2 linked regions of the Drosophila melanogaster genome follow. The protein of the gene in region 1 interacts with the protein of each later gene in a pairwise test. Each region holds a gene or a part of one and is shown in the gene's direction. Other genes may lie near its edges. The genes, in order: Fadd and imd.

What was found.
Region 2: the proteins of Fadd (region 1) and imd interact in a two-hybrid assay, tested with the Drosophila melanogaster proteins (2 studies listed by BioGRID).

Annotation. Positions count from the first base shown.
Region 1 is NT_033777.3:22,032,578-22,036,194, forward strand, and holds Fadd (Fas-associated death domain), read left to right. Parts: upstream 1-1,877; 5' UTR 1,878-1,985; coding exon 1,986-2,705; 3' UTR 2,706-3,040; downstream 3,041-3,617. Other genes in the region: CG6015 (uncharacterized protein), read right to left, coding at 1-182, 243-721, 787-1,504; CG45099 (uncharacterized protein), read right to left, coding at 1,505-1,609; pit (pitchoune), read left to right, coding at 3,258-3,438, 3,499-3,617.
Region 2 is NT_033778.4:18,409,165-18,415,402, reverse strand, and holds imd (immune deficiency), read left to right. Parts: upstream 1-1,803; 5' UTR 1,804-1,947; intron 1,948-1,973; exon of another isoform or gene 1,974-2,077; intron 2,078-2,325; exon of another isoform or gene 2,326-2,555; intron 2,556-3,046; exon of another isoform or gene 3,047-3,376; intron 3,377-3,816; 5' UTR 3,817-3,992; coding exon 3,993-4,652; intron 4,653-5,069; coding exon 5,070-5,231; 3' UTR 5,232-5,607; downstream 5,608-6,238. Other genes in the region: Dp1 (Dodeca-satellite-binding protein 1), read right to left, coding at 1-58, 117-153; GstE9 (glutathione S transferase E9), read right to left, coding at 5,647-6,238.

The DNA of each region.
Region 1 (3,617 bases):
GAATGCATAGTGGGGTCGGCAATGTACTTCATGTCCACAGGAATGTCCCACTCCCATATGCGCATCGATTTGTCGTCCGAGGTGGTCACAAACCGTCGGTTGTCGTCCACAAAGGTGATGGTGCTCACAGATCCCAAGTGCCGGTCGTATTCCTGTACAATATCACCGCTGCGAGTGTCCCACTGCGAATTGATAGGAAAACAATTGTAACATGAGCATCTACTTTTGTAAATTTTACTTACACAAATGATCTTCTTGTCGGAGGTGCCGGCAACGAACAAATGTTGCTTGCTATTATCCGGATGGAATTTCACACAGAAAGGCATTTTACGCGTTGTGAATCGGGACACTACATCGCCCGTTTCGGCATCCCACAACTTTATGTAGCGATCATACGAGGCAGACAGGAAGTTGGTACCCCTGTTGTTCCACGCAATATCCTTGATGGCCTGCCGGTGACCGGAGAAGGTGCGTATGCAGCGTCGCTCGCCGTAAACCTCCCACAGTTTGACGCGACAGTCCATCGATCCGGAGAGCAGAAGATGAGCGGTCTTGGGGAACCAGCGGATGGAGGAGATGCCCTTGTTGTGGCCCGACCAGGTGTGTATGTGCGCCTTGGGCAGAAAGCATTTGGTCGGTGGTGCATTCGATCGTAGATTCACGCCCAGATCATGAGGAGCATGCAAATAAGAGCGGCCCTGATAGTCGTACGCATCCTTGACTGTGGAGCAAAAAAGGAAAAGATTATTAACGATATATATTCGGTGGCTATTGGATTAAACTCACTGTGCAGCGTCGACTTCTCCTCGAGCGGCTTATCCTCGGGAATGCGTCCGCGCTTATGTCGCTTAGACAGCAGCTCGTCCAGTTCGGCGCGCTCCTGTTCATTTGGCTTTGCCACCGACACCTCGTTTTCGAACTTGCCCCAGGGACCCAGAAAGCCCTCAATGTCCTCGGGATTATCATTTTTCTCCTGCTTGCGCAGTTTCTTTGCCTTGGGCGGCTCAAATACCGTCTTGCCATTGTCATCGTACGCAGACTGCAGGTCACCCACAAAAGACTGGCCGTCCGCCTGATCGTCTACGCTGGGGTCCAATGCGTAGCCGTAGGTGTGAAAGGTGCGTCGCTGGTTCTCAAATTCGAAGGCATTGATGTGGGCCTTCTCTACGTAGCCGGCTAGGGTGTTCCGCGGAGCGCGCTGCTGCATGGTGAGGTCCGGATGCTCCGGACCTTTTACCGGAGCATACATCTCCTCATAGCGCGGATTGTAGGTTACCTCCTTGAGCGTGGGATCCAGAGTTCGGGGCACGGCCGATGCTCCAAGGGGAACCACCGTTGGCGCCGCACAAACAGCAATGGACTTGGATAGCGAGTGTGTCTTGTCCACGGGCAGCAGGTGATCCGGAATGGGAGCGGAGGGCTCTGAATTCGTGGTGGCTGTGGCGGCGTCCGCATGGTCCGATTCTTCATCCGAGGAACTGGCGTATGACTGAAGGCCCAACATTTAGAGGCTGCGGACGAACTCTGTGTACTTGTTAACGAAATGCTGAAGGTAAATCAAGACCAGAGTGTAGAGGAGGAATACGAAAACGTTAATGGATATTTCCATTCGTCTACACGTTTGCGTTTATCATTAGTTGCTTCAGTAAAAGTAACAAAAACATAAATATATATCTATCAAAACTAGGGATGGTGCGTGCCATCTGTTATCGATGTTATCGAATGGCTATGTAACGGTCTCACTAATAGATCCCAAACATGCAAGGTGGTGCAAGTTTAAAGCTTATTTTAAATTTTTTAAGTTGTATGGAAATAGTATTTGATATTTTTTTGCTCATTTTGCTCAAACACCTATTCAGTGCTGATCGATAACAGGTAAGGAAATGTTTGGCCATACGGTCATACTACATCAGGGAGTGAAGTTGCGTTGATACATTTTGGGAACTTAAGACCGCTGAAAATACCGTCTCTGTAAATTAGTCACAATGACTGCAGGCAGGCACTGGAGCTACGACAGCCTCAAACAAATCGCCATTGATGGATGCACCGAGAACGTGGAGCAGTTGAAACTAATTTTTGTCGAAGAGATTGGTTCGCGACGCAGATCGGATTGCATACGAACCATCGAGGATTTAATTGACTGCCTGGAACGAGCGGACGAACTATCGGAGTACAATGTGGAGCCACTGCGCCGGATATCAGGCAATATGCCACAGCTCATCGAGGCTCTGAGCGCCTACACAAAGCCGGAAAACATTCTTGGACATCCGGTTAATCTGTACCAGGAACTCCGATTGGCCGAGGAACTTCGTCAGCAGCTCCGTATTGCTCCAGCTTCCCAGAATGCTCAGCCATCAGTTTCGGAATTAGCTGCCGCTGTGCCTCCAACAGCAATCCAAAACTATGCCACCCCAGCTGCTTTTACGGATCACAAACGAACGATGGTCTTTAAGAAAATATCCGAGGAACTGGGTCGCTATTGGCGACGACTGGGCCGATCGGCGGGCATTGGCGAGGGCCAAATGGACACAATCGAGGAGCGCTACCCGCACGACTTGAAGTCCCAGATTCTGCGACTGCTGCAGCTCATCGAAGAGGATGATTGCCACGATCCCAAGCACTTTCTGCTTCGTCTGTGTCGCGCCCTGGGCGATTGTGGTCGCAATGATCTGCGCAAGAGGGTGGAGCAGATAATGTCGCACTAGAACGCATTCACTTATATGCACTTTATATGCATTTTGTTACGATACTAGTAATTAATGTGCTGGAGAGCGACAAAGATGTGCCTTTATTGTAATTATTCACATGTTATTCCAAGGTTGGACAGAGCATAAAAATCGCACACTAAATTAATATGTGTCAACGCGGAATTGTACGATCTTATAAGAAAATGTGATTGACGTATTCCATTCAAAATGGGAATTCACATTTCCTTATCATAAGATAGTCTACAAAAAATATTGTTAACTCGTAATACACAAGTCACATAGTTGAAGATAGCAATGTACAATGGATATAAAATACGTTTTGCAAACGCTTTTGCTTCTCTTATCCTCAAAAGACGGTTGAAAATTTGTTTACAAATAGGGTCACACCTTTTGCATTGAACTATCGAATTGGCAATTATCGATAGGCACAGCTGGCTGAATATCGTTTGCTTCGGGGTGAATGGTTAGCAACACGTGCGCGCAATATTTTATTTGAGAATTCTGTTTTTAACCATTAAACTCTATTAAAAAGCATACATAGTTAGCAATATGTCTATTCGGGAGAAGCTGCTGATGAAGAAGATCGTTAAGCGGGAGAAGATGAAGAAGGAGCTCTCGCAGAAGAAGGGAAACAAGAACGCCCAAAAGCAGGAGCCACCCAAACAAAATGGCAATAAACCCAGTAAAAAACCGGAGAAACTCAGTAAAAAGCATGTGGCCAAGGATGAGGGTACGATTAAAAACGTGTGTGCCTAATAAATATATGTAAGATTCACTTTTCGACCCGCAGATGACGACTTAGAGGAGGATTTCCAGGAGGCGCCGCTGCCCAAGAAGAAGCAACAAAAACAGCCTCCAAAAAAGCAACAAATTCAGGTGGCCAACTCGGATTCGGAATCAGATGACGAT
Region 2 (6,238 bases), on another chromosome or scaffold:
TTGGCCACCTGCTCTTGGCCATTAATGAGAGCGATGGGCTGCTGCTCGATGGTAGTTGCTGCATGATGATTTTGGTTAACAATTGCTTGATAATATTTAGCCTTCGAAGAACTCACCGTTGTTAGTTTCCTCCATCACTGCTGCTGCTTGCATTACTTAAAAAAAGAGAAAAGTCCTTTTTCGTTCCAAGTCGTTTACAGTACACTGAAATTGAAAAGTAGAAGATATCTTATCAAGTGCATTAAAACGTTTACATCATACTGGACCCTATAAATGAACCTTGTTTATCAGCCAGCGATAAAGCAAACAACCAGGAAGGAAAAATTTCTAGGGGATTATCGAAGTGCTGGTCGATCAATCAAAGAACAAATAGTTAAATGGCATTCTTATTTTGGCAAACATGGATTAAAATAGGCCCGTTTAGCTACAGTTTTCATCTGTTTCTGTTGTCAGTCGCCCGCAGACTTACCAAAATCGCAGATAGTTGATAAGTGCGACCTCCGAGGACCCGCATTTGGCTGCGACCAACTGATAAGGAACTACATAAGTACATACACACTTTAGGACCGCTTGGCTACAGTAAACAAATTAGTACAAAGATAATTCATTGGATATGCGGCGTGACTTATGTACAGGAAATCTAACAAGTTGCGTTACTATTGCTTTCTTATAAAAACGTCAAAAGTTTGCAATTTTTTGTTTGCTGTTTTCCATTTCTTCTTAATTTGTGAATGGAAGAAATTTCCAATAACATCCAATACTACATTTAATAAAATATCTATTAAATTAGATCATAAATTATTCATTGAATTCACCTCTGTAGCTTATATTCGTAAAGTTTCCTTCGACTGAATGCAGAATCATTCCGGGAAACCATGTTGCATGCCCCACTGTAAACAGTGCGTGTCCAAAGGGGGTGCATGAAATGGATTTTCTGGCGTTGATAAACCGAAATAGTCTCTTTTCAAACGAGCTTTCTGCACCACAGCCTGAAACTAAGGCCACGTAGTGCTTGGATCTGCGAGATGAGTGCTCGACACAACTCTCCGCTTTTCGGTGGTGATAAGTGGACGCGGCCGATGGGCCACGCAGGCAGATTCCGGGGCTGAGTGATAACTATCGGCCGTTCTGGCTGATAAGCTCAGTCGTCCGATTGCCACCAAGATATTGTGGTACGTACACACACAAACACACAATGCTACAAGTGCGCTTTCCGAAATTTAGGCTGCTATCAGTCGGATTTCGATTGGGTGAAAGGTTGGGGCCTCGCGAATGAGAAAGAGAGATCTCAGCCGAGGAGCAGCAGAGACCATGCACTTGTTCGACCAAAGCTGTTTTCTAAATCCATGCCCAACGAGTTTTCGTAGCCTACATTTTCCTCTCTACCGAAAGAACAACAAAGATATGTCTGTCTCCTCTCTGTTAGTTGTGTCTTTGTATGTGCGGACAGCGGCGGTGGCAGGGTATGTGTAAAGGGGGCCTCTTACTTTTAAATCATACGGTTTTGTAAATTTCAATGAAAGCTTAATACATTTATATATTACAGATAACAATGACAACTGCAAGTGACACCAGATCATTATCCCTAACATTTAATAATAGTTTTTCATTTCAGAATTAATTTCCCAAAAAAATAATCACCTAACGACGAATCTGTTTGTGCTCATGAAAAATGTGTCAAATACAGAGACAAGAGCACGAGAGCGACAGGAACAGGGAGAGGAGAGAGCGAGAGCTTGACGAAGTAACTTAACGGAGCAGGGGAGCAGCTCCATATAAAACCGGATGATAGCCGGCAACTACAACAAAACGATCGAGCAGTGCCAGTGGTGTATTGTATGCATGTGAGTGTGCTGTGCCTGTGTGCCTGCACATTTCTGTGTCGCTCTTTTTCTTCTTCGGGAATACGGTTGTGTGTGTGTGTTGCCACCTTTCGAGAAGGCACAGGTAAAAAACGAAAACAAGCAACATACCTACATAGCAAATACCATCGTTCATACGTTCGTATGTGACGCCTGCAGCGACGCTGACGTCGACAAATGAAGACAAAGCACAATAACAATGCGCTAAAGTTCAGCTTTAAACAAAAAACCAAAAAAAAAAAAAACATATATACAAAATTGGTATGCACATATCGGATGGATTCTTGTTTCTGTAATTTCGATACAAAGATCCCAAAGACCAAAAAAAGAAAAGCTTGACGTAGTCAGTTTTAGGCATGAAACCGTTAACTTGGACGACATTTGTTGTCTTTTTTTTGGCAAAACACTTGTGTAAAATGTTAAACTATGCAAATTAACTCTAGGCAAAGGTTGTTCAACTTACGGTACTGTAAAATCCAAAAAATCCGGCCGAGTTTACTCTCCTTTGACCAAATCCAGTTTGATAACTTGGGTGTCTGCTGGAAAAGCCGAAAAACAATTGCTTAAAATTAATGCAATTAGCGGATGCAGAAGATCGGATCGTGGCATCACCAGGATGAATGCCCTACAAATCATTTAGTCAGTCATTCTGCGTTATGCACATCCCCAATAGAAAGTCTAATGTTATTTGTCGCAGAGAGCGCGTTGTTGCAGAGAGCACGGTGAAGGAAGGGGAGGGGGGCAGCATATGCGGGCCACTTATTGGACAATTGTTTTTGTGGCAGCAGCGGAGGCAAAATTGGAGCAGCGCGTGGGCGTGTTTGTGTGCGTCTGTGTGTGTGTGTGAGAGTATGGAAATGCGGAAATCAGTGCCGTATGCTTTCCAGGTGAAAGGTTGTGTGGATCCTCTTTTCCGGCACGGGGCGGGGCCTTAACTCTGCCTCCCCCTCTCGAAAAATAGGAAAATTAAAGTAAAAAAAAATAAAAGGCAGCACGCGCGCCTTCCAATCGGACAAATATGCTTATATATGCACGCTCACACGTATGCACGGGATTTTACGTCCCTATGTGAGCGTGTGGGTCGTCGACGTCGCCGACTTTTGTGACTGTGTGGGTGAGCGCGAGTGCGCCGTCCGTGTGTATTATCAACCATTGAAAAACACGTTGTTTTTCGCCGACCGCACACAAATTTGAAGAAAAATTAGCGGCCCGAATTTTCTTTCATCGTTTTTTTTAATTCGCCACTGCCGTCTCTTCTTCTTCTGCTTGCTCTGCCGTCGCCGCCCCACCGCTGCCGGCCCTTTATAACTGTAAATCCGTGCACTCTCTTTCGCTCGCCGCAACTTATGCAATTCCGGCTGCAATTATACCGCCGCACGGATCACCGAGCAATGTGAGTTGATTTTCGCACTGGAATCTTGGTAAATTCACACCCAGACTTTCTATTGGAAGGCAGAACGCACGGACGCGGAACTCAACGTTACCGACTCCAAGTAAAATGTGAATGAACATGAGCGAACGTGGCAAATAGAGATGGGCGATACGCCGCAGCGGGTGCAGGGTTGTCGCTCTTACCAATCGCAAGCGCGAACTGTCAAATCGAACTATCGACTATTGGGTCTATTACCATGGCCTTCTTTTGGGGATTTTCAAAAATTAATTAAAGAATTATTCAATAGTAACAATAAAAAAAATATATTAAAAAAAAACTTAGACAACAAACACCAGTTTTTAAAGATGATAATCGTTATTATGGGGGTTTCCTTATATGCAAATTAATAAAGATTAGATATAAATGCTTAAATTTTTTCCTTATATGCACATAATGATTAAGAATTAAAATTCAAATGTTAAGTTTTGTATGTTAGTCAAATATAATTGATTTTTTCAATCAGACGGAAAAGACAAGAAATGCTATTTAGTTGAATTTCTTAATAAAACTAAAAATTTTTAGTTGTAAGTGAAATATCGGTTGATAATCGGCTCGGAATATCGATAGTCAGGTCCATCCTTGGCCTACCACCACCAAATTGAAAAAGAGCAAAGAAACACAAAGGCAAAAAACTCCCCAATCTGTGGAATTTCCGGAAGCGAGAGCACATTCAAAGCTACCAGTTATCAGCGAGCAGCATGTCAAAGCTCAGGAACCTGTTGCCCACAATCTTTGGCGGGAAGGAGGCACAGAATCCGACACCCGTCGAGGGACGCCTGGAAAAGGACGCAGCTCCCGTGGACGACAACGAACCAGATAACAACAACAGCGGAGCCCTGGCGCTGCCCTCCACCGCTGGCACGCCCACAGCCTCCTCGGATCTGACCGAATCCGTGCTGCGCGAGCTCAGCGACCCAAACTACAATTCAATGGATGTGGTGCATTCCGCCAATATTCCGGGCACTCTCAGTAACGTCCAGACAAACAACACCATGAACGTACACAGCGCCCAGCAACAGGTGGTCATGAACTTCTCGAATGCCAATAATCTGCACTTCGGCTCCGTCTACAACTTCAACCAAAACTTGAGCGCCTGCAGCTCGCGAAAGGGTAGCACCAGTACCGCAGAGGAGTCGGTCGCCTCTCCAGACGGTAAGCCGCGGGCAAGTGCGACGCGCAAAACGGTCAGCATTGTGGCCATGATGCAGTCACAAGAGGAACCGGATGTGCGCCTGCTCGATGTGGTTTCCACGCACTTGGGCGAGGGCTGGAAGCAGGTGATGCGGGATCTTGGCATGTCGGAAGGACAGATCGACCAGGCCATAATCGATCACCAAATGCATGGCAATATTAGAGAGGTAAGGCCCCTGAAGTTTAAACTTCTCTTATTTGTTGTTGAATGTTGATTCAAGAACAGAACATACAAACTCAAATTAGTATGTAAAACAACAGACTATGCTAAGATGATTGTGACGCATCAGACTAATTTAATGACTCAAATACCACTATTTCTGTTAGATTTCATTGCTTGACACGAATGGATTGTTCAACTTAAAAAAAAAAATAATATAAATTAGCTTACATTATTGTGAGCTATTTATTTTATATAATACTGATAGTGATTCCACTTGTTTGTCTGATTAGATTGCAAGTTATGGTGTATAAATGTCACAACTCTGTTGTTAGAGTACCAGAAGATTTTAATGATTTTTAAGAGTTAGAAAATCAATCATAAAATCAGAAAATAACACTTTGCTTTGTGTCTACGTCTATAGGTGATATACCAGCTGTTGCTCCAGTGGATTCGAAGCTCGGCGGACGGTGTGGCCACCGTTGGACGACTTACTACACTGCTGTGGGAGTCCCAGCATCGCGACTGCGTGCAGCGCATGAAACTGGTTTGGAAGGCACTGGAGAAGCGCAAGACAAACAGCTAGTCAGTGAGTGAAACTTGCTAGCAAAGATTCCAGAACGAAAACGATGCATTCAAAGTGGCCCCTTGATGTCCAAGCCAGCCGGATGGTGAAAACTGGAAATGTTTAACCCACCAACTTTTGCTAAATTCAGAGCGGCCTTTGACAGAAGACATCGAGTGGTAGAGAGAAGAGACGAACACGGGATATATGTGCAATATTTGATTTATAAATCCAACCTATCGAATAAGTGCGTAGAATTGCATTAACTGTTATTACTGCAGTTTAATCTTTAAGTTGTGATACTTGTGTCGAAAAAAAAAACCAGCTAATTGAGCTGGTATTTAAAAGCATTTTTGTAAAGTTTATACAAATAGAAGCTTTATTGTTACGTAATCAGAACACGTTGCGTTTGTAACCTTTAAGCTAGTGCAAACAATTACACAATCTTTGTGATCTTCGAACTGAACATGTCGATCAACATCTGTGCCCCATTGCCATTGAGCGACTGGTAATTGGGCTGTGCGGCCATTCTGTCTAGCCAGCCGTTTAACTTGGGATAGCGCTTGGCATCGATAGCGGCCAATCCCACTAGGCTGGAGACCGAGGAAACTACACTGTAGTCGGCGATGGTTATGACCGGTCCGCAGAGGTAAGCCTGATTACCGATGAACGCTTCCAGAAAGTCATAGGCCTCGTAGATGGCATCAATCTGGGAACGCGGCACCTCAGTTATGTTCTTGTAGAACAACGGAATGGCTATGTTCCGGATGCAGCCCTGGAATAACACACCCGACTCAAAGTGCAGGCGCTGATCAACGAGTGCGCGTTTGAAGTAATCCTTGGGATACAGGTCATCACTCTTGGCATAGCGTCTAACCAGATAAGCGCAAATGGCGTGACTCTCCCAGATGAACTTGCCATCGTCCTCCAGCACGGGTACCGTGTGCTGCGGATTCTTCAGGCTGAACTCCTTCGTCTTGTGCTCACCGGCCAGCAGGTTCACCAGCCTATACTCATACTGAAGGCCC